Linked DNA regions of Oryzias latipes. The main gene of each other region encodes a partner of the protein of the gene in region 6 in a complex. Links are inferred from orthologs where the notes say so. Each region holds a gene or a part of one and is shown on either strand. Other genes may lie near its edges. The genes, in order: tctn1, mks1, cep290, tmem67, tmem107, b9d1 and transmembrane protein 216.

The links.
Region 1: b9d1 (region 6) and tctn1 share a complex: the UniProt entries of both Homo sapiens proteins name them as parts of the tectonic-like complex. The link is inferred for Oryzias latipes from reciprocal best matches to the Homo sapiens genes B9D1 and TCTN1.
Region 2: b9d1 (region 6) and mks1 share a complex: the UniProt entries of both Homo sapiens proteins name them as parts of the tectonic-like complex. The link is inferred for Oryzias latipes from reciprocal best matches to the Homo sapiens genes B9D1 and MKS1.
Region 3: b9d1 (region 6) and cep290 share a complex: the UniProt entries of both Homo sapiens proteins name them as parts of the tectonic-like complex. The link is inferred for Oryzias latipes from reciprocal best matches to the Homo sapiens genes B9D1 and CEP290.
Region 4: b9d1 (region 6) and tmem67 share a complex: the UniProt entries of both Homo sapiens proteins name them as parts of the tectonic-like complex. The link is inferred for Oryzias latipes from reciprocal best matches to the Homo sapiens genes B9D1 and TMEM67.
Region 5: b9d1 (region 6) and tmem107 share a complex: the UniProt entries of both Homo sapiens proteins name them as parts of the tectonic-like complex. The link is inferred for Oryzias latipes from reciprocal best matches to the Homo sapiens genes B9D1 and TMEM107.
Region 7: b9d1 (region 6) and transmembrane protein 216 share a complex: the UniProt entries of both Homo sapiens proteins name them as parts of the tectonic-like complex. The link is inferred for Oryzias latipes from reciprocal best matches to the Homo sapiens genes B9D1 and TMEM216.

Annotation. Positions count from the first base shown.
Region 1 is NC_019868.2:27,624,984-27,629,228, reverse strand, and holds the start of tctn1 (tectonic-1), read right to left. Parts: upstream 2,801-4,245; 5' UTR 2,718-2,800; coding exon 2,450-2,717; intron 1,401-2,449; coding exon 1,283-1,400; intron 779-1,282; coding exon 645-778; intron 1-644. UniProt on the Homo sapiens protein: Component of the tectonic-like complex, a complex localized at the transition zone of primary cilia and acting as a barrier that prevents diffusion of transmembrane proteins between the cilia and plasma membranes.
Region 2 is NC_019872.2:25,021,724-25,025,223, reverse strand, and holds the end of mks1 (Meckel syndrome type 1 protein), read right to left. Parts: intron 3,286-3,500; coding exon 3,216-3,285; intron 3,147-3,215; coding exon 3,039-3,146; intron 2,921-3,038; coding exon 2,787-2,920; intron 2,218-2,786; coding exon 2,135-2,217; intron 2,050-2,134; coding exon 1,952-2,049; intron 1,769-1,951; coding exon 1,665-1,768; 3' UTR 419-1,664; downstream 1-418. UniProt on the Homo sapiens protein: Component of the tectonic-like complex, a complex localized at the transition zone of primary cilia and acting as a barrier that prevents diffusion of transmembrane proteins between the cilia and plasma membranes.
Region 3 is NC_019864.2:2,301,316-2,304,815, forward strand, and holds part of cep290 (centrosomal protein of 290 kDa), read right to left. Parts: intron 3,492-3,500; coding exon 3,286-3,491; intron 2,196-3,285; coding exon 2,044-2,195; intron 1,589-2,043; coding exon 1,477-1,588; intron 1,224-1,476; coding exon 768-1,223; intron 694-767; coding exon 529-693; intron 163-528; coding exon 58-162; intron 1-57. UniProt on the Homo sapiens protein: Involved in early and late steps in cilia formation. Its association with CCP110 is required for inhibition of primary cilia formation by CCP110.
Region 4 is NC_019874.2:17,683,327-17,687,480, forward strand, and holds the start of tmem67 (meckelin), read left to right. Parts: upstream 1-1,354; 5' UTR 1,355-1,387; coding exon 1,388-1,589; intron 1,590-2,456; coding exon 2,457-2,551; intron 2,552-3,305; coding exon 3,306-3,396; intron 3,397-3,521; coding exon 3,522-3,621; intron 3,622-4,154. UniProt on the Homo sapiens protein: Required for ciliary structure and function. Part of the tectonic-like complex which is required for tissue-specific ciliogenesis and may regulate ciliary membrane composition.
Region 5 is NC_019874.2:18,549,684-18,553,675, forward strand, and holds tmem107 (transmembrane protein 107), read left to right. Parts: upstream 1-1,422; 5' UTR 1,423-1,729; coding exon 1,730-1,816; intron 1,817-2,146; coding exon 2,147-2,214; intron 2,215-2,295; coding exon 2,296-2,396; intron 2,397-2,637; coding exon of another isoform or gene 2,638-2,734; intron 2,735-2,810; coding exon 2,811-2,907; intron 2,908-3,070; coding exon 3,071-3,140; 3' UTR 3,141-3,492; downstream 3,493-3,992. Other genes in the region: tripartite motif-containing protein 46, read right to left, coding at 1-161, 872-931. UniProt on the Homo sapiens protein: Plays a role in cilia formation and embryonic patterning. Requires for normal Sonic hedgehog (Shh) signaling in the neural tube and acts in combination with GLI2 and GLI3 to pattern ventral and intermediate neuronal cell types.
Region 6 is NC_019866.2:15,984,757-15,988,856, reverse strand, and holds the start of b9d1 (B9 domain-containing protein 1), read left to right. Parts: upstream 1-1,300; 5' UTR 1,301-1,440; coding exon 1,441-1,503; intron 1,504-1,633; coding exon 1,634-1,702; intron 1,703-1,821; coding exon 1,822-1,930; intron 1,931-2,035; coding exon 2,036-2,132; intron 2,133-2,202; coding exon 2,203-2,265; intron 2,266-2,709; coding exon 2,710-2,777; intron 2,778-2,970; coding exon 2,971-3,098; 3' UTR 3,099-4,100. UniProt on the Homo sapiens protein: Component of the tectonic-like complex, a complex localized at the transition zone of primary cilia and acting as a barrier that prevents diffusion of transmembrane proteins between the cilia and plasma membranes.
Region 7 is NC_019868.2:30,553,169-30,557,367, forward strand, and holds transmembrane protein 216, read right to left. Parts: upstream 2,801-4,199; 5' UTR 2,251-2,800; exon of another isoform or gene 2,128-2,250; 5' UTR 2,053-2,127; coding exon 2,043-2,052; intron 1,745-2,042; coding exon 1,731-1,744; exon of another isoform or gene 1,660-1,730; coding exon 1,566-1,659; intron 1,542-1,565; exon of another isoform or gene 1,461-1,541; coding exon of another isoform or gene 1,421-1,460; coding exon 1,328-1,420; intron 545-1,327; coding exon 343-544; intron 277-342; coding exon 261-276; 3' UTR 141-260; downstream 1-140. Other genes in the region: transmembrane emp24 domain-containing protein 9, read left to right, coding at 3,036-3,168, 3,684-3,784, 3,987-4,112, 4,189-4,199. UniProt on the Homo sapiens protein: Part of the tectonic-like complex which is required for tissue-specific ciliogenesis and may regulate ciliary membrane composition.

The DNA.
Region 1 (4,245 bases), on a different chromosome or scaffold from region 6:
ACCTTTCAGGTATGTGAGAGTGTTTGCAAATACGGCAAAAAAAATCAATGTGGAAACAAAGTTCAATTAACATTTGCAAAACAGATGGAGAAATGTAGTAAACAACATTTTAAAAAAAGAGATAAATTGAAAAGAAGATTTTCTGACAGGAAAGACAATAAAAGCAGAAAATTGGGCGTCTGTCTCAATTCCTTAAATTGTACGTAAAAAGGTAAATAAATATGAAAGTGGATGAAGTTCTTGAAATCCTAAGGCTTAGATAAAAAACAGATATCGTGAAAATATTAAATAAAAAATTCAATATGGAAACTTCTGAAGAAAATGTGTTTGAATGAGTTAATTTTCGGCATTTAAGACAATTGAATTCTGCTGTTTTTACAGCTCCTGTTAGCAGATTTTACTTAAAAAACTGGCTGTTTCTGGAATTGTTTTTCTCGAATAAAGCCCTAATTTTTAAAAGACAAACTAAATGTCAACATCATTCTGACATATTTGTAGAAATGTGACAGAAACCTGCAGGCTTGACTTTCAGAAATCATCCATTGATTTTTTTTTTGTTTAAATGAAAGTTTAAAATACAGATAATTTTGTTCAGAATGTGTGTAAAAACATAAACATGAGCTTCAGGAGGAGCTCTGACTCACGGTTGTATGAATGGATGCAGAAAAGGTCATAGTTTGTCTCCTTTTTGATGGAGGTGAGAAGCTCGGAAAAACCGTCAATTCGTGTTCTCAAAGCGTAGCTCGCCACGCCGCGGCTGCACAGCTGCCTGCTGTCACTGTGAGTGAAGAAATAACAATGAAAAACTGAGATTAAATCTGACTTAAAACACCCAAAACAGAAATCCAGCCAGAAATGAAGCACTATGGAGTATTTATTTTTAATTTTGAGCTTGTCTGCTGTCTTTGTGCTGCTGTCTCAGGTGATTTTACCTGTGAACAGGTAAATGAGCCATAATGATCCTATTTTCCCCGTCTTTTAAAAAAAAAAATCTTATATATGTATAAAAATGGAAAGTTTCCTTAATCTGCACTTAGGAGCTCATTTCATTCAAATATTCAAAATGTCAACAAAGGTGAAGCAGATCTTTGAGTCACAGCTGTGGGTTTAAAAGAAACGATTTTTTCTCTTCTTCAAACAGGAACCATAACGGTGTGGACTGGCAAAGCATGATGGGTCACGGCTGACATTCCTAACGTCATGAGAAGCAAACATGTGTTCCCCTGAACGTATGGGTGGGCAGTAGTGTGTTGGATATTGATTCCCTCCGGCTGAAACTCACCTCACGTCAGTGACTGAGCAGCTGGTGAACAGCGCCACCTCCTGCTGACAGTCAGCATCACAGCAGCAGCTGATGTCACACGCGTCCGTGTGCTCATCACAGGGACACAGCGTGTCGACTGAAACACAGAGCTGAGGTCAGAAGGTCAGAGTTCAACTATCCTCCGATGAGAAGTTTAAATATCAAATAAGAAATGGTCACCTTTTTTGATTTCAGCAGCAAAAAAGGATTACAAACAACAACAAGCACAGAATCTTGAAGCCTTAAATGTTGGTATTTTGATCATGAAGCTGCTTTTTAAACTTTAATAACATAATGACTGAAGTTGTGAAAGCGGCCCTCACTGCTTCACAGCCCTCATTGTCCCTGCAAGCCTGGTCAGAGCTGCCCGGGACAAATTTATGGGAAAAAAAAGTTGGTGGCTTTTCTGTCAGTTTTAACTCCATGGCAACCATTCAATTTTTTGATCGCCTGGGGGTGACGGACGCATCTATATAACTTTTAGAAAGATCGGCAAAAGTAAATTTTTAGATTTGCTTGGCAACGGAGGTTATGTGCTAACCACGCCCTCATTCCTAATATGTACATATGTTATGACATATCATTTTGTTTAGCTCGGGCCAACGATTAATGTATTAGATTTTCACAATGCTCCCGTAAAAAACAGGGAAACGCCACTTCTGCAAACTCACCACGCTAACGCTGTTCATAATCTGCAAACCTTAAAACCAATGATTTTTTTCCCCAAGTAGCTTCCCGACGGGGTCATGGACGTAGAAGCCAAGCGTTTAAATGTGAACTAGAGAACTGTTTTAAGAAAAATTCAAGATGGGGGCTTCTTTGCAAGGTCAAAGGTCAATGAAAGTTGTGGTTTTAGACTTAACCTGGTGATGTATGTGTGAAATATGTTGTTCACTATGTTAAAAATTCACTTTCATCAAATTTTGCTGAGATTCTTAGCTTGTAAAAACTAAAGAAAGTTTTGCTCAAAGTTGCAGAAAAGCATTTGCATAACCTGGTCCTTGCAGGTTTTTTTGAGAAAATGAACAAGCAATTCAAAAAGATTAAAAACGGTTAAAGTAAATAATTTAAGGACTGTTTGCAACGTCAATAGAGTTACTTTAGACAAAAACAAAACAAAACGGTGTTGCGTTCAAGGACACGCACCAGCGGTCACTGGAGTGGGGAGGCGGCCGGAGACAGGCAGGGGCTCGGCGGGCAGAGGCGGCGGCTCCGTACCGCTGGAGGTCCGGGTTGTTGAGCTCAACACCGTCGACTCCGTGGATGCAACAAACGTCGTTCCAGATGTGAAGTTTAGGTCATCCCACGCAGTCGAGTTAAAATAACTGCTCGTCGAATTTTCGTTAGAATTTACAGTAACAATCAAAAGGAAAATAAAAAAAAAATCCGAAGCTAAAAAGACGAACGCCGCCATACTTGTTATAGACCGTTGCTATGGTTGTTGCTCTTCTTCGGCTGTTCGCTTCTGCTCGTGGGCTTTCAGTTCGTATAGGCTGCCACCTACCGGTCAGTTGCATGAATGCAAGGTCCCTGAAACACATTTAACTGTTATCCCTAAAAAAACAAAAAAAAATCAAACAATATTTTGTTGATCACTGTGCTGTTTCTGTGATATTCTGAAAAAATTGGAAATATGTAGAAGTTTAATCTCTAATTTATCAGACTGAATATAACATTTAGTCATATAAACAAACGAAATAATTCATAAAACATGTTTAGTCTTACTTTTATAAGACAAGTTGAAATGAGGCTTTTTTAACCCTTGGGCTATCTTAGATGACCCCCCCTTCCATTGACGTGTTCTCCCTACCATGACAAAGGTGGATAAAGGTGGAAAGATTTCATGTAATCCATGGACACCAGTGAAGATCACAAATCATTGAAGAAAAAAGGTTCAGGGCACTGTCTAGTGGGTCTAGATGACCCAACTCCCAATGTTAAAGTGCCTAGGATAGCACAAGGGTTAAACAATAAACAAACAAAGAAAATAACTCTTTTTAAAGCGAAAGACCTCTTTAACGTGCAAATTTAAAGAACAACAGACTTATTTAGTCTTGACGAGAACTTGAAGGGACACACCACCATTAAATAATCTGATTTTTTTTTTTTTTTTCCACAACTTTTTATTTAAAGAATTAGTCATAACAACACAGCAACTTCAATAATACCAGTTACGTTTTCCTTATAAAAAGACAAAAAGCAAAAAGGAAATAAAATAATAAAAAAAAAAAAAATAAAAATAAAAAAACTAAACTGTATTGTATGACATTTCACTCAAAACAAATATCTGCACTCAAACAAATAAAAATAATTACATAAAACAAAACTTAACAACGAACATTGCTTCTCTTACATGATACCATCACAGCTCTCCTTTTCAAAAGCTTTTAAACTGTGGTTGCAAAATTCTGTGCAGTTGAGATCAAAAATCTGTTGAATCATCTATTAGTTCTAATTTTTGAATATAATTAATAAAGGGTCCCCAAATTTCCTCAAATAGGTGTTGTTTGCTTTTATGGATATACATTATTCTTTCCAAAGGAAGGCAATACAACATTTGTTTTAGCCACTGATTTATGCTAGGTCTGCTCATGTTTTTCCAAGCCTGTGCAATACACCTTTTAGCCGTTAAGAAACTGATATCAATAAATGTACTCTCTGTATTACTAAAATTATGTTTCACTGGATATATATTCAAAAGAAATAGGGTAGGGCTCAATGTAAGTTGTTTTGAGATTATTTTTTCTATTGTAATTTTAACTTCTTCCAAAAAGATTTGTATTTGGTGACATTCCCACATGCAATGCTTCAATGTGCCTTTAAATCCACATTTTGCACAAACATCTGGTATGTTCTTATTATATTTATTTAGTTGCACTGGTGTTGTATATAAACGCATTAACCATTTAAATTGTAGTATTCTCAGTCGACTGTTAATAGAC
Region 2 (3,500 bases), on a different chromosome or scaffold from region 6:
AATTAATGACAATTTTTTAAGCCATGTTCATGTTGGTGTTTTTATTTGCTAGTTGTTTTGTTGTTTTAAACTATCAGAGCATCTTACTTTTAACAAGTAAACGTGCAAGACTGCAGGTGTTTATATTATTGATAGTTTAAAAGAAAAAAATGCAAATTACAATCTTTTTTACATAGTTAAAGATTAAATTGCAAGCACATAAAAGCCTTTCTAACCTAGGTCAGTGTTGTAAATCCTCATAAAATCAAAGAACACGTTCTCTAAAAATAAAATGCATTAGTTTCTTAACTAAATGACGCTTCACAAAAGATAAAAATCTATTTTTTTTTCATTTGATATTCACTGAGAAACAGCATACAAACAGCAAAGAAATCAATTAAGCTTTATCAAAAGCCCATTAGGGTCAACTACCACAATCCATGAAACCAATACTTTATTTTTCACCTGTAACTTATATACAGTGTGGCTTCAAAATTATAAAAATGACATAAAAAGTTGGGTTTGTTTTAAAAAAAAAAAGGATGTTGCTTTAATTAAAATAACAAATGTATAACAACAATGAAACTTCAAATATTTTGTAGCAAAAACATTTATTTGTAGAATTATATGCAATAAAATGCAAAAACTACCCCAACAAATTAAAATCAGCTGATTTTTTTTTCCTGACAGTAATCCTGAGAACATGATCTCTTTTAGCCAAACTGGCATCGTTTTTAAAATCCTATTCTGAACCAAGCACCATTCATCCCTGTATCAAGTATAGCAAAAGAACAGATGCATAAATTGTGCATAGGCTGATCAAATGAGAATGACGAGATCCTTAAGACCGGCTCTAAAAAGAAGGAGAAGACTATAGAGATTGCTTGATTTGTGAAAAAGATGTTTCAGGAGGATTTCAATTTCTATTTTTACAGTAGACTGTAACAATAGTTTTGTACTGTTAAGGGGCAGATCAATAATAATTTAACTGAGTTTAAATGAGAAAAAAGCTAAATGTCTTTAACTGAAAGTTGGTATGGTGCTTCATGGAACCAGGTTAAAGTAAAGCAGCAGAGGGTCAGGTAAATTGAGATTAGCTCTGAGAAGATCCTTTTGAGGGACATGAAGCAAGAGTCTCTGTTTTGCCCCAAATAGACCCGTTGATGTAGGGAAACGACACAAAGGCTTTCCTGGTTAGTGGCTAATTCAGCTTCATTCTGTTAATCACTAGGCTATTTCTGACAGTAAAAAGTAAGCTTTAGTAGATTTAAACAGCACCAGAACATTTCTCGTATCTGCGTACATCAGTAGGTACTGGCAGAACATGAGCGCAGCAGCTTCTGTAGAGGGCAGGAGGTGAAAAGCAGCTTAGAACTTGTAAAAGAGTTAATTGCAACAAAAAAAAACTCCCGAGTGGATTTTCAACAAGTTCCTTAGCCATTAAAAACTGCTGTGAAATTTGCCTGTAGTTTCTAAGGCAGGTGTGGTCACTTTTTCCACATTTTGGTGGATTGATGTATGTTTTGCATCATTACAACCTGACAAAGTGACTTATTAATCCTTAAAACATGAAATGTTCCACAGATGCTCACTGGACCGGTCACTAGAGAGTCATCTTTGCAAAATTCTGAGTCTGTGCCAGGATCTTCTTCCACTCAGTCCCACTGAAAGTTTGGTTTTCAGTCTCATGCTGAGGATTCCTGTTGGAGTTGGGAACCAGTGTTTATTACGCCTCTCGGAAAACTTTCTCTGGCCTCCTGCATCTTTTTCCTCGCTCTCTGAAAAGCCTCTGACAGAGAAAAACATGAAACGTGTTAAATGAAACTATTATTAACATTTAAATACAGCACATTTTAAATCCTAATTGCATCCCAATAGCCCAACAAATGTTGATCCCTAAATAAAGTTCAGACCTCCAGAATTTCAGTGCAAAGAGGCTTGGAAGTCAAATGGATTTTTTGTTTTTTTTTACCCAGAATGTTGCAAACAGCTCCTTGTTGACTAAATCCTCCCAAATGCTCAAAAACCTTCTGTCTCCTCCTTTTCAGAACAGCAGCATCCACAAATGCCCTGAAATGTACACACGGACACAAAAGACCACTGTAGTTATGTTGCTGGCAGACTGAGACCTGTTTGACGCTTACCTGACACTCACCTGGCTTGCTGGATGCAGTGCAGGTTAAAAGTGACGCTTCCTGTGGTTACAGTGCAGAAACCAAAGCGACTCAGCCTGTCCCCCTGATACAAAAATGTTAGAGAATAACAACAAAAAACATACACATACTGTAAATACTAAAACACCTTTGTTTCAATCATGTATCAAAAGCAAGTCCCTGTTTATCAAAAACCCAAAGAAATCATTTTTTTCAAAGTCTGTTGGTTATTCTGATATTTGCACTCCGTTAAATGGTTTCCACCAGAATGTCACAGTAAATGCAAATTATTGATTTTTTTATTCAAAAGTGTACAATTTAATTCAATATATAGCAGCAAAAATTAAAATAATCATCAATTTGTTTTCAGATTTCTATCCTAAGTCCAATTTTTTGGATTACTTAAATAGTGATTTAAAAAAAGAAAACGTTTAATTTTTGCTTTGACAAATAATATTCACAAAAATGTATTTCAGAAATGGAAGAATCAATAATTTTATTGAAGTTAGGATTGACTCAATTTCAACTGACAATTGAAACCCAGCTGCCCAAGGAGTATGTATCGATAAAATCACAACATATTTATTTAACTTTATACCTGATAAAAATCAACATCAATTGTCTAAAACTTTGTTTGAGCCAGCTTTGATTCACCTTGAATGTTCCTGGAGTTCTGACATAACTGTCATCTTCAAGCTCAGCAGAACCTCCAATAAAGAAGCGCTTCATTGCAGACACAGTCCCTGTCTGAACAGGCCTCCATGTGTGACATGTCATGGTATGTTTACCTGGTATACAAACACAAACAAGATGTAGAAACACTAACCATTTAGAAATCCCTTGATTAAATGTGAACAGTAACAAAATAAACTGAATTTAAATGAGATTTCAGGAAATACATCGTACCGGGCGTGGCAGGAAAAAGCAGATAACCATAGCCTTCCGTTCGATAGCGCTGCCAGAAGTCCAAGGAAAGAACCTTGAAGTAAATCACTGGCCACTGAGGAATGCCTTCTAAAGTAAGATAAAACCTGGATTCATAAAACATAAACTATGCTATAATACTTAACAGCTGATACTAACCTTCACCGTCTTTTTGCTTCATATAAAGAGCCTCAAAAGTGAAGGGATAGCTGAAGAAAGCCACATCTTCCTGTAGACGGAGAGTTTGTTGAGGGTTTAACAACTTCCACTCAAAAAAGTGGTTTAGTCTCTTACATGCAAGTTGTTTCTCTTTCGGCTTTTCCCATCAGGGGTCGCCACAGCGAACGAGCCGCATGGTAAACTTGGCAATGTTTTACGCCGGATGCCCTTCCTGACGCAAGCCTCTCAAAGCAACCGGGCTTGGGACCGGCACAGAGGTAGAGA
Region 3 (3,500 bases), on a different chromosome or scaffold from region 6:
TCAAGCTCCAAAAAGGTGAAAAACCACTGATTTAACCAGCTGTAAGCGATGCTTTACCTCAACACTGCCGACGATCTCACTCTGGTGCTTCTCGTAGTCCTCCAGTTGGCGCTCCAACTCCACTTCCCGTTGGTCTCTTGCAAGCTGTTGCTCTTCGTTAAGCTTAATGTCGAAAAGTAAATTACTGTTAAAAAGCCTCCTTCTAAAACTGTTAACACAATTTAACTCCACATAAGTGCAATAATTCTTCTTCTGAAAAGGTTGGGACGCTGCAATATTCCTATTTATTTGTATTTTATACTTTGTACTTTTTTAAATCTAATTTTGTTCTCTTCTTAAATTTTGTCTTGCTCTATATTCACCCTGACCTGAGAGATGCCAAAGAAAAATTCAAATGTACTGTATGTGCAAACGGCAATTAACCTTGAACCTTGAACCTTTGTAATGAAATAAAGCCAAAGTATTCTATATATTAACAAAGTAGGTTTTAGCCAGTTTAAAAATGTCTGGAGATTTTTATTTTCTCACTGTTTGCAGCTGAACAATTTCCTCTTCCAGTGAGCGGATGGTTTGGTCCTGCTCTCCCACAAGGTTCTTCAGGTACCTGATCTCCTCTTTCTGGAATACCAGCTCCCTTCCTTTTCTCAGTTCCTGCAGTCGAGCCTCCTCCATCCTTTTGTGCCACTCAGTTACCTGTGTAAATAGCATACTTGTGTATAGAGTGAGCATAAGATAGGTCAATAGGCTCATATGTTTCTTCTACAAACCTTCTGTGCTCCTTTTGCATCCTTCAGAGTTGACATGAGCCCTTGTAGGCCTTGCAGTCTCAGTTCCAGTTCCTCGGCTCTTCCCTGGACCCTCCGCTTCTCCTCCTCAGCTTTCTTCATCTCCTCCTGGGCCTTCACTCTGTCCTCGTGGAGTCGCAGCATGGCTACAGAAAACTTCTCCTGCTGAGGAAGTGGCAGCGCTCCAGCAAACTGCCTTCGTAGTGACTGGATGGTCTGCCTCAGATGCCTCGAGCGATTCTTGGCCTCTTGGCGGGCGAGGAAAAGCGAGCGCTCGGCGGCGTCCAGACGCTGCTCAGCTCTTAGGATGTGGGCCTCCAGCTGATGGATGCGAGTTGTGGAGGAATCCAGTTTTTCCAGAGCTGCCGACTCACTGAGCTGCAGAGCAACAATGTGCTGGTGGAGCTTTGCGATCAGAGCCTTCTCATCTGACTGTGACTGAGAAGATATTGTAGTTTAATAACCACAATTCAAACAGTATTCTTTTGTCTGCTCCTGATTCTAAACGATTTTAATAAGGAAATACTAAGAAATGCAATTTTAAGCTTAATTTTCTTGATATATATCCTCAATCAACAGAAAAAAATGCCAAAAGAACATGTTAAAGACACCATTTTCATCTTTAACAGATGTGGTTTCTATAGATCATTTGGTGTAGTAGAGCCCCAAGCAAAAAAACCACTTCACGTACCTGATAATCTAGTATTTGTGTCTTCAAAGCTTCTACTTCTTTATCTTTAGACCTGTGTCTGGCCTGTAAAGCAGCAACCTGAGTCAAAGCAACTTCTGACACCTCCTGAAGCCTGTCAAAAAGAATAAGATATGTTGAGTGCAACTTAAGCAATAACAGAAAACAATAGGTGTCTTTGATCGAATGATTTACAGACACAGGGGATTGTGTTGATCCAAAAGCACAGAAAAGCTCATTTTACTTTGAGAACATGGATCTATAATCAGTACTTCAGCACTAAGATCAGATTTTCACTTTTTACAAACAGGGAAAGAAATATGCTGAGAGGCTGTTATGTTCACGATTCCAAAACAAATGTTGATTATAGCCCAAGAAAAACTCTCCAGCTTCTCCCATCAAAACCACAGCCAGGAGAACTTATCTAAAAAACCAGACTCAACAAACAACTCTAACTTTTAAAATTTATCACCAGATTAATGGCTGGAATGCTTACGTAGTTTTCAACACAGCTTGTTTTTCGTGATAAGAGCATATTGATAGATTTAATACCGAGATACTCGGACATACTTTGAAACTTCAGTCCGGAGCTCCACCTCAGCCTTTTCCAGCTCTGCGATCCTGGCCCTGTCAGCATCGCTCACAGCTTTGCCGATGCTTTGCGCCAACTCATCTCTTAGCTCTCGCTCAGTCTTTTGGGCCTCAGCATTCATCTTGGTCAACTAAACAAAAAAAAGCAAAGAAAGGATTTGATAAAAGCCATTGTAGAATCAAGCTCTATCTAAGAAAACATCAAGAGCAAACAGAGAAACAACAGTCCAGTTTCTAAGCTTTGTTAAGCTATGTACAAAATCGCCCTTGGATGTGCACTCAAGCAGTCACTTCCGATGAAAAGTCTGTGTAAAGTCAAACTGTGTTTAAAACCCTCGTGCATATCGTGTAGGCATAGCTACATGTTTCTACGACTGTGTTTGGGCTCCATGTGCTAAACGTGTGGCCATTGAACACATGTTGAACTTTGACAAATCAGGGACTCAGACTTGGTAGTGACGTATGGATGATGTCTCCTTGAATTTTTGGAAGTGCCAACCGTTTGGAAATTGATCATGGAGAAAATGGTAAGTGGCGTAAGCTTAAGTAGCGCTTTTCTACCTTCTTAGGCAGCCCAAAGCACTGCACAGCCTCAGATCCATTCACTCACTCACACACCGGCAGCGGCTTCACTACACTGGCACCAGCTATTAACCCCCAGGAGCAACGTGGGGTTCAGTGTCTTGCCCAAGGACACTTTGACAAATGGGTTGGCACGGCAGGAACTGACACTGTAATCTTCCGGTCATAGTTTGGCAGCTCTGGCTCTGCACCGCGGCCTACAAATGAATGATTGCATTTATGCCGGGCTGGAATTACATGACACCAAGTCTTTCATAAATTGGAATAGAGCTGTGAATAAAAAAGCATGGAGAAAGACATGCGAAATTTACACTGTTTGGATAATTCACATTGAGCTTCTTCCAATTGTACATGGCAGACATGTGCTGGTAAACAGAAAAACAAGAAATAAAGGAAGAAGCCCCTCCCTGAGCACGTTTCAGAACTCTCATTTAGCGCATTCTTGAACATGCATCATGTGCCCTGTGTCTGTTAGAGTCACAAACCAACATGTTGACATAGAAATCTGATCCCATAGGTTCTGGATGATGCATAATAACAACACTGAAATTATTTTACAAACAAAGATGGATATTTTTGGCTACAATGCAAGAATTTAGCTCCCTAAACATTTTTACGTCTCCTTTTTAAGTTTCCTACCTTGGCAAATTTGGACTCCAGCTCCAAGTTGCGCTCCTCCACGTGCTTCAGGGAGTTCCTCACATGCTCGTACATTTTGTGGGCATGCTCGGCTCTCTGCCTCTCATTCAGCTCCTTCATCTCTAAAGTGGTGATCCTTCTCGCAGCAGAGACCATTTCATTGTTGATTGTTGCCTTGCCTTCTTTATCTAGGCCTGTTTCTGCACCTGGAGACA
Region 4 (4,154 bases), on a different chromosome or scaffold from region 6:
CAAAATCACAGCTTCCATTTTGCCTTTTGTTGAGGAAATGTAGTTATCAAATATATAATTTTTGAATAAAACACAGGTTTGTATAAAATATGCTGCAAAAAAAGTAAGTCACACAGTCAACCAAAGTTAGCTGGGTGATAATACACTTGAAGCCCCTGCAACTGCTTTGAAGTCTGACATAAACAATAAATCACACTAATAAGCTGCACATATTGGGGCATGATGTGGTTGTACTTGAAATGGACGAGTACTGGTGATGAACTTAAATTGATCTTAGGTCACACTAAACCTGGTTGAAGTAAAAGTGAAAGATTTCCTGTATACATCTATGATATTTAGATTTAAAATTGGCTATCTGTTTTAAATGTGCTAATAAATCTTCTAAAACCTGAATCAATGTTACATTTCTATATTAAATGCTAAACCTTACAAAATAAAATTAATGCACAAAGATTTTCACAGCATGGAGACTGACAAAAAAACATCAGGTCCAAGCTGAAGTTTTTTTTTTCATTGATTGCATCTTCAGGAAGGAGCTTGATAGACCTTCACAATAACCTTGATAAAAAAATAATATTGCAAAATAATTTAGTCTGAGGCTAAGATGATATGTCTGGGTGGATGGTTTGAGGAGGCAGATGTCGTCTGCAAAGCAAAGTGTTTCTGGGTCATAAATTGACTTCTTTGTGACCCAAAGACGGACCAGCTGAAATGAGTGACAGAAAAAGAAAAGTTAGATTTTAATCCACAATAGCCTCTGGTCTTTGAAAAAGAAAGCTTTAAACTTTCAATTAAAATTGTTTCACTACGAGGTCAAATTGGTAAAGATCATTCTGCTATCTGTACCCCCCCCCCCCCCAGCTCAACTCAAAGTCTCTGTTGTTTCTGAATGTCTATGTAATCAATAGCAGAACATCAACAAACAAGAAAAAAACTAGAGCTAAAATTAAAATCACTGAGTCGAAAGTCACAAAAATATACTTATTTTTACTTGTGGACAAGGTTAAGTATTATAGTCAAATATACACATACATATATATATTGTTGCTGGAAGAGGCAACATTAATCCTTAGAGCTGCCTATATTTCGTTACAGAGAATCCCATTATTGTTATCCTCTGTTAAGACATCTTTTTAAAAGTATGAATGAAAACCATTATTATTTGATTTAGTCTATGAATCTTTGAGATTCTTCAAAGAACTTCAAAGAGTTTAAGAGTTGTCTTTTTTTATTCTTTCACAACATTAGTGATTTATTTATTTATCCTCACGGTGTCTCCAAGATGTTCTCTCCCCAAAAGAACATTTTAAACTTTTTTTTAAGTTGGAACGCCCTACGTCATGACGTGTTGCAAAGGATTGTGGGTAAAAAGGAGGACATTTTTACCATGGCGACGGGGACGCCGCTTGTTCTTGACAGGCAGATGTTTTGTTTTACATTGTTTTATGTGATTCATACGCACCTTTTCCATTGCCAGCAGTTTCTTATCCCCTTTAAAGATCCTTCCGGATGTGGTGTGAACGAATTTTTCGACATCTCGAGTTTGTCGTGTGCCAAATGCGGCGCAAATCAACGCAAGAGTTCTTCAGGTGGGTATCGATCACCACGCGATAAAGCTACATGATACAGTGTACACACTGTAAACATACCAACATTAGTGTATATATCTAAAAATAAAAACAGATAATTACATTCAAACGAGTTAAGCTCCAGCTGTTGAACAACCTCGAAGAAGTAAAAGCCAATTTGGTTCTAATTGTTTTCTGTTGCTAGCAGTTAAGATAGCCTTTACTTTACTGTATCATGTACATAAAGAAATTATTCTTAAAGAAAGTTTTTGTTAATCCAAATAATGTTTTAATATGTACACACTAATATATTATAGACTATTTAAGATTATTTAAAGTTTAAAACCTTAACCTTTAAGAACATGTTATAGCATGTGGTCTAAAAATCATATTTTTAGAAGTTTAATTGAATTACCATAAATATTCCCTAACTTGTATAGGAAAAATGGCATAAAGCTAAACAAGCAAACTCTGTTCAGCTTTAATGTTCAGAACAAGCTAGTCTCATTTCATTTTTCATGAAACAGGAAAGCTAATCATTTTTATTCTAAACTGATAAATGTTTCAAACTAGTTTAAATAAATGTACACTGACTGTTCTTATATGGACCTGCTTTGAGAGGCCATATAGGATTGCACTATTAATGTATGATTTGTTTAAACATACTGTTGTATCTAGAGAGACGGTGTGAATCTGAATTGACCCTCATCAAAACATCAACCAGCCTCTCTGGGTTTCTTTCTTTTTAAATTTAAATTCAAAATGCACAATATAGTTGTTGCAAGGATTTTTAAAATAAGATTTTTATTTAACTAAATATTAGTATTTCCTTTCACCATTGAAAACAATATTATTCTAAACTATAAAGAAATGTCTTGTCTTATATAGGTCTGAGCTGCATTTGTCAAACGGGTTACAAGACCAAACATTTTAGCAGCAACAAAGTCCCGTTTACATGTGAACAGTGTCCCCCAGACAAGCCTGTAAGTATAGCTTTCTTTCATAATGAATGTTCTGATTCATGTTTTTTAAAACTACTTCACAATTGAATCACTTAGTTCAAAAGGGGCCCAAGTCCACAATTTTTCAAAATAGAGACATTATATGTTCTATGGTCTTCAAGGGAAAAGCTATCTGATTATGTGCAAAAAGTCCCAAGTCCGTTGTAATGTACTGTCTATACTTGACATTTAAAATGCATTAAGTGCAAAATTCCTGAACTTGGGCCTTTCTTGCATGGGTTTTGCTTTATCCCATAGATGGCAGCACTAATTATCCAATATGGCAGCGCCCCTGTCAATGCAAGGGTGGGGTCATCTAAGATAGCACAAGGGTTAACCCTTGTACTATCTTAGATGGACACCAGTGAGGTTCAAAAATAATTGAAGAGAAAAGGTTCAGCGCACTGACTAGTGGGTCTAGATGACCCAACTCCTTAGGATAAAATGCCTAGGATAGCACAAGGGTTAATTCAAGAAGGGCCCAAGTCCAGAGACTTTAGTTTGCTAGTCCTCTGAAATTATAAAAGTGAGCTGCTTCATATTATAGCATTTGTAAGCTATGAACTGGTGCTAAATCTGGGTAAAGTATTAATCATTTAGTGTAGCCCCCCTTTAAGCTATGCAATTAAAATCATTTCCTGGATTAACAAACCTCTTGGACTTGGACCCCTTTTGAACTAACCGATTCAATTGATATAAATAAAAGTGCTTATTGGTGTCCTGTCCTTTATTATAGGCAGTAACGAAAGACGGCTTTGGTTGTATTCGCTGCCCCGGCAGACTTGATGATAATGGCAACTGCCAGTGCCCATCTGGAAATATCCTAGGTGAGTTACCAGTACAATGAGAGGTTTACAACCCAACAAAAAGGGTTTTCCCTAAAAGCTGTAAATAAGGGTAATTGTAAGTTTTTTGGTAGAAAACTTTTATAAATTTTTCTTCTTTTTCTCAGTTGAAAGAGACATTAATGGCACATTTTTTGATGAGGCCAGTTGTGAAGCATGCATTGGAGACAGCCCTGCCTTCACTGCACCAAACAGTAATGGGGACAGGTAATTATATACAGTACAGACTTAATATTCATGAGAATTTCATTTAACATATTTTACTTAATAGAAAACTCTAGTTTTCTGAGAGGAGGTGCTTTGTGCTACATTTGCACTGTTAAATAAAAATATTTAGGGATTTACAAAGCGGAGCGATTTTCATTATATTGCATAGTGGGTCATCTTTACTTTAGTGGAAATGAAAAATAAAAGTCAATAAAAAAGTGATTTTTTTTTTGTTTTGTTTTAGTATAGGGCAAAACAAATTTGACAATTTCTTATATTCTTGTTGTATCTACAAATATCTATGAAATCTTTTTTAAACTTTTGCTCCGATTTTCATTATTCAAACAAATATAAAAATAGTTAAACATGTATGATTTGTTGTATTTCCTCATATCTTTATCTCTGAGTGTTAATATTTACTTTTGTGTTATAAAATTGTGTTGTGTCATTGAAAAGTGTAAATGGGTAGTTTCAGCAGGAATGTTCAAACTTTGAGTTTGCCCAGAAGTTGTTCTGGACAAATCTCAAACGTT
Region 5 (3,992 bases), on a different chromosome or scaffold from region 6:
GGTTCCGGAGGGAGGTCTGGAGGAGGGTAGCCTCTTTGTACCAACACCTCGGCCGCGCACAGCAAACACACACTGTGCTGGCATGGCAGGAGGACGGGCTGCTTCACGATCTCGTCACACACCGGGCACAGCAGCTCCTTTTCCATCATCTTCATGTTGGACTGGAGAAGAGGGAAGAGGAAAGTTCAAGAAGACAACAGAGCTGCGACTTGATTTAAAGAAAGGAAATGATGGCAGTGATGAAGGAAATATCTAGATGAACTCTGGTTGTGTGCCGTTTATTGCACAGGACAAGAAGGAAAGAAGAACGTAACCTCCATGATGCTTAGCAGTCCTCCTGTGATTGCTTCACTGCTTCCTATTTCTAAGAGTAAATTGGCTGAGACATTATTTTTAATAAAAAAAAACAATTCAAACAATGCAGAAACATTCTGTTTGCCATTGATTGTTGCTTCTTTTTTTTTTAGGTTGTGGTGGCCCCTTTCCATTACTGCAGCCACAAGGCGCGGCATCCGGTTTCTATGACAACGCACATCTTCCTCTGGCCCTGATTTTATGCTATTTGGCAACATTCTTAGGTTCTTATATCTATTAAAAATGAATTATGTGGTCGTTGCGACTGTATATTTTCTATTGCCATTCACCACCTGACTGTGGCTTTCAGCCTATTCCGGGTTATTAAAGCGATGACAAAACATGTTTGTAAACGGTAGAAAAATGCTCCGCATTCTTATTTCATAGCCATGATTGTCCAGATCAACATACTATCAATAAAGCAAGTTATATGTAAGACTACATTATTGTTTTTCCTCTCTTAGATGTAGCACGTTTGAAATGGCTATATTAGAATAAACCGGCGTCGCACACTTACACTGATACGAACCAGCGCGTCCATGACAGAGGTAAAGGTTTGGAAGTCCTCTTCTGCCATGCTCTGTTGTTCTGATGTGCACGCTTCCAAAGAAAAAATGTTTCGTTTAAAACGATTATTAAGTGGGTGTGAAAAATAATCCCCGGCTGTTTTGTAGCAAACACTAGGCCCTGACGTGCACAGATAGCTGTGCTTGAGGTGTGCTGCTCAATCTCTGTCGTCTATCCAAATGCGAATGGAATGGTTGCTGAAACTGGTGGAGGGGGGTGGGGGCGTTTTGCCCCAAAATGTTAGCTTTATCGGGGAGCGTTTAAAAAACATTCTTTTAGAAAATAAAAACAAAAAAAAATCGGCTTTTCTACGTTCTTTAGATACGCGAGGCTATGTTCATCCTACAATCACACGTTAACTTTGTCATGTTTTATTTTTGTGTGTGTGTTGTCGTTAGATGCTAGTGTTGTGTGCTGCTTAACAACAAAGGCGATGGGTCGCATCCACTTCCCTTTTGTGTCCGGAACGTTTGGAAGGTGGATGTTTTTACGGGTCGCAATATTGGATGCACCCAGCCACTGGCTGTTGTAGCAACCCAATGCGACACCGGGGTGTGTTAAATTTCTATGTATAATTTTGTTTAGAAAAAAGACTATTAAAGAGTAAAATTTTAATTTTATAAGTTCATTGGCTTTAAAAATGCTTGATTATCATTTTTGGATTATTTATTGAACCGCGGTTGCGTTGATATACCGCGAACCAGGAGCGACGACTGTTGTGTGAGATCTGTGAACTCCAACGTGACCGTTTGGCTTTAAAATTTAGAATTTTCTAGCATTTCTGACACTTCTGTGAACCAGAAACAACATGTCTTCTATTAGCAGTCTAATTCCTGCGCGGTTTCTCACCATCATAGCTCACCTTGTCATCGTCATCACAATCTTTTGGTCCAGGGTAAGTAAGGACAGTCCGTGTTGTTGTTAAAGCTTGAAGGACGACTCAAGCTGCCATAGAAATATTTTTTATTATTATTATTAATATTATTATTGTTTTTTGTAAATATCAATAACGTGTAGTTTGTGATTTTAAAATAAAGAACAAAAGTTTTTAAAAAAATCGTGAAATAGAAATAAATTCTACTCCACAAAATATTTTTCCTAAACTGCAGAAATATAGATTTTTGTTTGCTGCAAAAAGTTTATTTCTCCTTTTTTTTATAAACAATTTTTTATCTAGAAATGTTACCATAATCGGCTATTTTATGTATTTGTTTCTGTTTTCTAGGAGAATAATGTGAAGGCATGTTTGCCTTTGGAGTTTACTCAGGAGCAGTATGACACAGAAGACAGAAAGTAAGTAACAAATGATTGAAAATATATGAAAAAATCTTGAATGCTCACATTCTAACCCGCATCCCTTTGGTTATTGTTCAGGTTGGTTGTAGCCTTGTCAGCCACTCTTGGTCTGTTTGCTATCGAGCTAGCAGGCTTCTTTTCAGGAGTCTCCATGTTCAGTTCCAGCCAGGGTCTTCTGTGTATCCTTTATACTGACAGTGATGATTCATATTTGTCATGGTCATTGATACTGAACTATTGATTCACAATTGTGAGGAAAATAAAGATTTTCAGATATTGTCTTTTCTCCAGCAGCTCTAGCTTCTAAATGAGCATCTGGTTTATAGCAGAAAACATGATTTACAAGAATAAATGAATGGATTAAACAATGCTTATTAGTCATTAGTTACAATTCCGTAACTAAGAACTTGTCTGCTATAGCAACAGGAGTCCATGCCAGTGCCTCTGTGGCTTTGCTCTTTTTTCTGTTTGAGCAGTGGGAGTGTGACATCTACTGGTGGATCTTTGCTATTTGCAGGTTAGTCTTTTGACGCCTAGCAAATCCGTTTTATCCTTTTTTCCCCAAAGTTTTCCCTGACAGCTGCTCCTTTCAGCATTAGCTGTCCACTGCTCCGCATCCGTATCTTTGTCTTTCTTTGTGTTTGAACAATGGGAATGCTGGACTTACTGGGTGATTTTTGCCACCTGCAGGTTGGTTCGCCTGCATGCTTGTTTTCAATGAATAGTTGGCTTTTAGAAAGACAGCATACTGTAACAGTCACTCTTATTTTGAAGGAATTTGAATGCATTTAAGGATTGTTCTTTTATCTTTCTGGATTTCTATTAATTTCTTTTTCTATTTCTCATCTTTCAGTGTCTTGCCAGCTTTTGTGGAGATTCTTCTGTTTATTGCGGTTTTTGGACTGAAGAAGAAGCCGTTATGAAGAGGAGTTGATTCAGATTGAATGGATGAACGCTTCCATTTGTTGCTACAAGACAGTAGCTGCAGAAATTCAGTTATTAGATCACCTTAAAAAGGGGCCAACATTGTTAGAATTTCTTCAGCAGGCATCAATAGATCCAGAAAGAATGTTTTTTTTTTCAATCTTTGTAAATATATTTTGAACTATGTAATTACAAAAAATAATTATACTATGTTGTTTGTTTTGAATAAGTTGGAGAGTTAGCAAAAGTTTAAAATGTAAACCAAGTTTTTTGTTGTCAGTAGTGTATTTGTTTCTCATGTAAAGCTTTTCAACGCTAAATCCAAAATACATTTATACTTTTTTAAATAAGTCTTATTTCTCTCATTGTATCTATCTTTATCCTCATTTGGTGACTTAATTGTCAGAGAAATATTAACCAAACTGAGCCAGAAGATAAATTAAAGTCGGGCGACAAGAGTATCCAGAACCGCAAGGTTACAAAACATGAAACAGTAACTTCATTTTTGTGCAGCTATCAAAAAAAAGAAACAGTATTTAAAATTGATTTAGGGAGGAAAAATCCTTTCCTAAATTATTAATGTAGTGAGACATGTTGTAATATAGAAGAATTATGTCTATGAAGACTCTCTTTCATCCAGGTTGATTCCATCATAGTAGTAAGTTTAGGGGCTGTCCTCTTAGTTTTTAAAGTTAGAAAACGTTTCACCTCTTATCCAAAAGACTTTGTCAATTTTGTAATATAGGCTAAAAAAGAAAGGTTTTTTGACGTAATGATCCCTCCCTTCTGCTTTTCTGCATGCAGCTGCGGACAAACCATTGCAGTTGTGATAAACAGAATCAGGCCCTGCA
Region 6 (4,100 bases):
GCTATGTAATTTGCACTTCACTCAATATTTAGTCATCAGCTTATCTTCATACCTTGTGTCCACTTCCTCTCCAATTTTGATTGCTCCTCTTCTCCGGTTCTTTACTAATTACCCCCATCTCCTTTCTGCCATATATGCTTTTCCATGTTCTTCCCCACATATCTGGAAAATGTGACTCCCTGGTTCATCATTATTAGAAATGACATTTTGTGACCATTAAAGTGTTTTCTCTGCTGCTCCTCTGTTTTTCTTGATCCATTTTTCAGCCACTCATATTTGGAATGAATCTGGCTCTCTGGTGAAATCGGTGAAGGCCTCTTTAGGGACTGATTTCCATTATATCTCTGGCAGAACTGACTTGAACAAAAAGGGGAAAAAAATCTCTGTTCTCGAAAGAAGTGTGAAGTGTCACTATCAATCACGAAAAGGGACTTAAAGGAGGTCGCAGATGCCGGATGGAGGGGGTGTTTCCTGTTCATCTCATCATTTTCATCATTTATGGCTTCATATTGTCACAGAAGGGTTGTGCAAAGCAGTTGCAGAGAATCATGAGCCCTTGTGGACCAGATGACCTCTTTGAATTGACCAGCTGAAAACATGGGCTGCTGCTCATTAGACTCTAAATGAGGGATTTGGCAGCAAGGAGGAGGGAAGAGGAGAACGAAAGCAGGTCAGAGGGACGAGGAGGAAGTCACAGGAACAGGGCGAAAAAGTTGTGAGGGGCCGAACAAATATTAGAAAGGTCGGAAAAAAGAGAGAAGGAAGGAGGTGGACGAGAACTGAAAACAATGGAGAAAAGCAAGGATGGGAGAGAAAGAAGTTAGGGGAAATTGGAGCAAAGGATTCAATTGAAAGTGGTAGAAATTGAAAAAACACATTTGCAATGTATGTATAATTTATCAAGAAAGTTTTCGCTTAATATAAGGGCTCCAAATGTGTAAAAGATGTTGATTAATTTGAGAAAACATAAATCTTTTCATTGATACAAATTTCCTCAATTTTTTCCATAATTTTTTTATTCATAAACCAAGCAAAACGGTAGTCCGAATATCAACAAAAATGACGGTGTAAAAAAAATAAAATAAAAAAATAACAATAAATGGACAAAAACAAGGCAAAATGCCGCTTAAAATCACAATTAGTTTGATACAGTTCGATTAATTATTGTTTTCTTGTTAATGCTTGATGACATCTCCTTATGTGACTTTAGTCTGCGGCATTTAATGAAGCGCTTTTCTTTTTAACAATGCTGTCATCTTGTGGCGGTAAAGGTTCTTATTTTAACGCGCTCTCGTTTTGTTTGACTCTGGCGGGTTTCCGTAGGGAAAAACACGCGTTGCCTTAGCAACGGCTGCGAGTTTAATCAATTTCCTCTTACAAACGGGTTTAAAACTAGCGTTAAATGATAGTTTGTGAAGGAATTAAAGAAGACGTTAATAGATGGCTTCGAGTAACCCGTCGTTGTTCCTTCTTACTGTAAACGGACAAATAGAGGGAGCGAACGTGAGTTTTGCGGCTTTGTCTTAGCATGTTAGCTAATATTTTAGCTAGCTTTAGCCACATCTAGCGAGCTACAGATATTTTCCCCTCGTTTGATTTCTTTTATTACTCTAAAATGTTTTCTGCTATTTAGTTTCCAGAGTATGACAGCCTTTACTGCAAATACTCCTACGTTTACGGACACGACTGGGCCATTACGACGGTGAGTCCGCGTCTATAGCCGTCTGATAGGGGCATATTACCCATAATTCCTCATAAAACAGCCTTTTTTAAAGTATGCGTGGTTTGGTTGTTTTTAATTTTAGGCTTTATTTATTGCAGGGTCTAGAAGAGGGCATCACCCAGATCACCTGTAAAAGCAGTTTGTCACGGACTTTAGTCTGGAACTTTCCTCTGGAAACAACGTTTAAGAGCACCAATCCATCTGGATGTGAGCCTCACAAAAACCCCCACAGACTGAGTTTATGATGAATCACTTGATTATTCAAGGATTGCGTTTTAAAAATGATTTTTTTAAATTGTTTTTGTCTTTTAGGGCCTCAGATTGTGATCAGTGTGTATGGACCTGATGTGTTTGGCAATGATGTGGTGAGGGGCTATGGAGCGACCCACATCCCTATCACACCCGGACAGTAAGTCTCACCTCCATGAAACCTCTTCTTTGTCTTTCCCCTTTAACCACAGGTTGTTGTTTCTCCATAGACACACTAAAACCATTCCCATGTTTGTTCCCGAGCCCACATGGAGACTCCAGAAGTTCACAGGGTGAGGCGTTTTGCTGTGAAGACTAAAGACAGCAGCTGAGCTCTAATCGAATGTTGTCCCCTCCCCTGAGTGTGGGGGTTTGATTCCATCAAAAACCCAATAATGGGTTTCTGCGGTGAACATGCTTCCCATTAATATCTATTACTTCCTGTTAGCATCATGTTAGAAAACCACAGATTGTAATTCATTAGAAAAAAAGATATTTTTAGGACCTTAATTTAGCTGAACCCCACTATTGGACAAACATTCTTTTCCTTTTTTATGTAAAGTAGGTGTATTGCTCCTCTTGTGCAGTCTCTGGTTCTTGTTTTGTCAAAATGTTATAAATTTAAAAGCAACTTTCCTCAAAATTTTGGGGAAAAGCAACATAAATGTAAGACAAAACATTTTTTCATCATAACTTTTTAAAAGTACTAAAAAATCCCCCCCCCTCCCCCCATTTAGCTGGTTGCTAGGGCGAAGACCGGAGTACACAGACCCTAAAGTAGTGGCGCAGGGTGAAGGCAGAGAAGGTACGTGAGGAATCTTTTATTTTCCTACTGCATCAAGAGTCGTTCACTTTGAAATGTGTCCCAGAGGTGCTTCTAAACCAAATCAATTATTATAAAAGTGTTTATTTTAAACCCCCCCATCCTTTTTTTTACTTATTTTGTATTTGAAATGACAAAAAGACTAAAGTCCCGCTCTGTCGTGTTTGTTCTGCAGTAACAAGAGTTCGTTCTCAAGGTTTTGTCACCGTCTCCTTCCACATCACCACCAAAGACATGAAGAAGATGGGCTACGACACGGGACCGTCCAACCCCCAGACTGCTGGTGGCGTGGACGCTTTCTAACACAAGCCTCAAATCTTTTTATACATTTGTACTTAAATGCATATTTCTATATATATTGTTTTGCAGAACAGTTTTTTTAATAAACACCAAGTGCTGCATTTGGTTGAAAGACTACACAAAAGCAAAGACAGTGGAGCTGCAGTGAAACCTTTTATTTTGAAACGACGCAGCTACACCCGCCCTCCTCCATCCGCCTGCTGCGCTCGTTTGTTTAGATGCCGTTAAAATACCACAACGACTTTTCCTACAAAATAAACCCATTACACAGAATGATAGGGAATAGAGAAAAACAGTATGTTACAATAGTACAAATGATAAATTATATCATACAGTTATAATGCCAACAGGGGGGGGAGTATAAATCCAATAAACATTTTTAAAAAAAGAAGCAGCCTGCACCCAGTGCTATGAGAAAGTAACTGGACGCACATGAAAGAGAAAAACCAAGAGTCTGAATATGTATAGAAATACAGCCTGTAAGGTCAGTCGGTCCTCTTTATAGAAGCAGAAACACAAGAGCTCACTACATTTCGCCTTTATTTTCTATCATTTGTCATTGCCTAAACAAATGCAATGATGTTTTATCTGTTCAGACTGGAAAAAATATTGTTTTAAAGTGTTACTCTGTAGGAAAGTGGCTTCCTTGGTGTTTGTTCCAGAAACATTTTTTTAGTAAATCTTATTTTGAAAAGACAAACGTAGCATTGAGCTTCTTTGTTTTTTTTTCTTACTCAAATATTTGCATCTTTTTTGTCAGAGTGAAAAAAACATTCGCTGCAGAGTAAATATCAAACGCAGCTTTAGCGATCCCTCATTTTAAGCCTAATATATATGTAATAGCATAGGTAACCACGAGGGGGCGCCAAACCACTCCGAGAGAAAGCTCCCACTGTAAATGCTGGCAAGTCCAACTGAAGACAGAGCTGACTCAGAACACAGCAGGTGCAGATCCCTCTTTTTCCTCCAATACCATCAGAGGTGGAGACGCTGCACCTACCGGTT
Region 7 (4,199 bases), on a different chromosome or scaffold from region 6:
GTGATTCCTAAGAAAAGAGGACGGACAGCCTTCATGCAAACACAGATCAAAGGTTTTCCAGCTGAAACTCAGACCTGTGGAGGTTCTAGTGGCCCGTGGCCGGCTTCATCTGATTTTGGTGACACACAGAACTCACAAAGCTGCAGAAAAATGTTTATTTACAAAAATCCCTGAAGAATCACAGAAACTTGTGTCAGCGGCACATATGCTAACAACTGTCCTGGTGTCCCTCTGGGCTCCAGAGAACCGCTCTTCTGTCCTCAGTACACCTTGGACCTGCACAAGAACATCGAGGGTCAAAGACTTCCCGGCTCTCAGAACCGGCCTGCGGGCTCAGGGTACCTGGAGAAGGAAGATAAGGCGATGAATCCCAGCAGGAACTCCAGGCCGTAGAAGCAGAGCAGGACGGCGCAGAGCAGGAACTCCAGCCGCAGAACGAAGGTCTGCAGCAGCAGGTAGTAGACGGCGAGCGCCGCACAAGAGACCAGGATGAAGAGCGACAGGCAGGAGGTCAGGGAGCGCTCACACAGGTTCCCCTTCCAGCCTGAATCGACACAGGGGGACAGCGTCAGCGCCTGCAGCCGGCCTTGAGAACCAGCACAGAGCCTGAGCGGCTGAACGCTTCGCCGCAGGTTTGAGTCTGATGTTTCCAGGCAGCAAACGTCTGCAGAGATGCTTTAACCCCTTCATGCCCACTGGTGCAAGGAAGAACCACTCCTCCTCAAACCGACTTTCATTTAGCCTCAACTTGAAAGCAAAAACACAACTGATCATTTTTTCATAGCTGGATATAAATTCTGGCGTGGGGGGGGGGGGGGGGGGTCATGTCACTTCCACAGACAGAACCCTGGAACCCAGGAGGAGAACCCTCCACCTCCGTCTGGGAGGCCGTCCAGGTGAAGAGTGAGAACGCTCTCTCCTCATTGGACCACCGCTCAGACGGGCGTGGAGAGGTTCTGCACCGAAGGTTCCGCTTCAACAGAACCTTCAGAGGCGGAGCTCCGAACACAACGATGAAGGTCACACATTCACACACGGAACCAAGCTTCTTCCTGCTTTGATCTCCAGCATCATCATCGTTTACACATCCCAGCATGCCTTTCATGCTCTGAAGTCCTTTTTAAATCTGAAAACCACATTCTTGGTCTTTCTGACACTTCCATGCTAGCATAGAACCGTGATTGTTCTGACGTTAGCTCATCCAGCACCAATGTCAGGCCCGTCTGCATCCTCTTCATCCTGCATGTTCCATCTTTGTTCTCCAGAACCTCTCAGCCGCACTTGCGGTTCTGGAGAAAGCAAAGCAGATGTTTGTGTTTGGCGTCACCGTAAAAGATGCGCAGAGCCTCCAGAGCGAGGAAGAGGAGCAGCAGGACCACATCCAGGACCAGATTGTCAGACGGGTACGGCAGCAGGATCCCTGCAGCGACACCAGCAGCAACCGTCAGACGCTCCTCCATGACGTCCAGCAGAGGAACAGAGGACAGGCTGGAGGTTCTACGACACCTTCGGCTTCATTCTCAGGTGAAGCCGTGGTGAACCTGCAGGGGGGCGGGGCCACACACCTTTGTAGATGAACATGAGGATCTCCGCCAGGTAGAAAGCGGCAAAGTACCAGCTGTTCAGGTAGAGCAGCACCTGCAGAGGCGTGGAGGACAGCTGAGGAGGCGTGGTCAAGGACAACTGCGGCTGGTGGACAGGCCCCGCCCCCTCTGACAGCAGAAGGATACGATTGGTCGGCTCCCTGCAGACGCGGTGAGACAAAAATGTTGTCAAACTGAGAGTGAAACTGAACGTGAGGCTTAAGAAGCGTTTAGGAGACGTGACGGTTGTTGGACCGGATTATCTTTAGCTTTAGACGGTGGTTTAAGAACGTTTCAGAGGTAAACACCGAGTGGGAATGTTTTTAGCCGCTAACCGGAAATCAACGGCGGACCGGAAGTGTTTCCGTCCGTCTCTGATAGCTGCAGAAAAATGACGGGGAAAGACGGCCTGCGGTTTTTGCGCCGTTCTTTCTGCGACGATGATAAGAAAACACTCACCAGGCGCCATGTTTGAGCCGCTGTGGTCGCTATGGAAACGGCTCTTCTTCCCTGGACAGCGTCAGGCGGGGCTCCGTGCTGCCCCCTGCTGGTCAGGATGAGCAAACAGAAGACACTAATATTTGAAACAATTTCACATTATTTTATTAATGGATGTTCTTCAGTTTCACCACTGAATCACTCTAAATACATAATTAGTCGATGTTACCTTTTATCATCAATGGTCTGAAATCACGTGACATGCGGGTTTCTGTTGCTGTTTCCTGTTGGACCCTCAGAGACCTCATTTAAAGAAAATAACTGTTCTTTCTGCGACATCAACATAGAAACACTTGATCATCTGTTTATTAAATGTATAAATACTAACAGGTTTTGGGAGGATTTCTTTTGGTGGTTCTCTTCAAATTTTCTTATTTCTATTTGGTTACAAAACACATTGTATTACACATTGTATTATTTGGAGTCGTTTCTGGTGATAACTTATTTAGTTTGGCATTTAATACTTTATTAATTTTTGGGAAATTTTTCATCTATAAAAGGCAGATTTTTACAAATCAAATCATTATTCAATACATTTCATAAAGAGATCTGTTTATATTTTAAATGCAATAAAACTGTCAATTTTCATTGAAGATCACATGTTAAATGACAATCCCTAGTTCTCTGAACTACGGTTCTAATGTTATTTATTTATTTGTCTTGTATCTTACTCTTTTTTTCTTTTGTTATGTCTTTCTATTGTAGTTACATGAATGTGTAATCCTTTGAAGTTGAATTAAAAAACCCACAGTGACTCCAGGAGGAGGAGGAACCTTCACAATCTGGTTCTGATGTCATCCGCTCTGCCCAGCACACAACTACAATACCCAGCTTGCCATCGCAGCGCTCTGATTGGTCGAAGGCGCGCCAGGGTTTACGTGGCACTGCTGCGGACGCGCAGACTCCGTCTGAGCTCGGTGGTTCCGGCTGGAAGACGGTTCGGTCCGGATCAGCATGCAGCCGTGCGTGTTGGCGCTCCTGCTGCTCGCGCTCTTCTGCAGCCGCGCGCCCGCGCTCTACTTCCACATCGGAGAGCTCGAGAAGAAATGTTTCATCGAGGAGATCCCGGACGAGACCATGATCATCGGTGAGCGGCTAAGCTAGCTGCCGCGCGGCTAACGCTCACAAAGTTCCGGTTCGCCGTCAAAAAGTTTCCCAACGCCGCCAGAAGTAGTTAGTGAACCGTTTGATGAACGGAGACGTTGGCGAACACCTCGTAGTAGAAGTTGGTGAGGATGTAGGATCGGTCTTTTACCGGGGAACGGAGGACGGTTTAAGCTAACTTCATCCTATCAGCACGCGGATAACAAACCAAACCGCCTGAAGAATCCAGCCCGTTCCCCGAACCTAGACCAGGAACCCAAGCGGTTCTCCTGGAGAATGGGCAGGCAGCTCCTCCAGGAGGAACCAGCAGGTGGAGGTCCGGACCAGAGTTGATGATGGTTCGTTCTGAAGGAGCTGTCTGGGACCGGTCGCTCCCTGAGGTTCCTGCAGAACCGGGAAAGCGGGTCCAACGGTCCTGACCAGCGCGTCCAAGGACCGGAAGTGCTGCGTTCAGCCGGATGTTGTCACTGACTGTGGGGCGCTTGTGTTTGTGTGCAGGAAACTACCGCACGCAGCTGTACGACAAGCAGAAGGAGGAGTACCTGCCGGCCAGCCCGGGTCTGGGCATGTTTGTGGAGGTCAAGGATCCTGACGAGAAGGTAAGCGCCGGAGGAGGTCCTCCTGACACGTTAGTGCCGTGATGCTCACTTTGAGGAAGGTCTCTTCGTTAGATGGTCTCTGTAACCACGGCAACCGCGTCCTGACCTCCGTAAACATCCAGAGGAGGACTTGGAGCTGCTGCTGTTAGTCTTCTGTGGAGGTTTTGGTGGAGTGGACTCTAAGCTCCTCCCTCGCCTGCAGGTGATCCTGTCTCGGCAGTACGGCTCGGAGGGACGCTTCACCTTCACGTCGCACACGCCCGGAGAGCACCAGATCTGCCTGCACTCCAACTCCTCCAAGTTCTCCCTGTTTGTGGGAGGAACGCTGGTGAGGAGGCGGTCGGCGTAAGCTCCGCCCCTTTACCTTCACACCCACGGCTTTAACCGCCGTCTGTTTGCCGCAGAGAGTTCACCT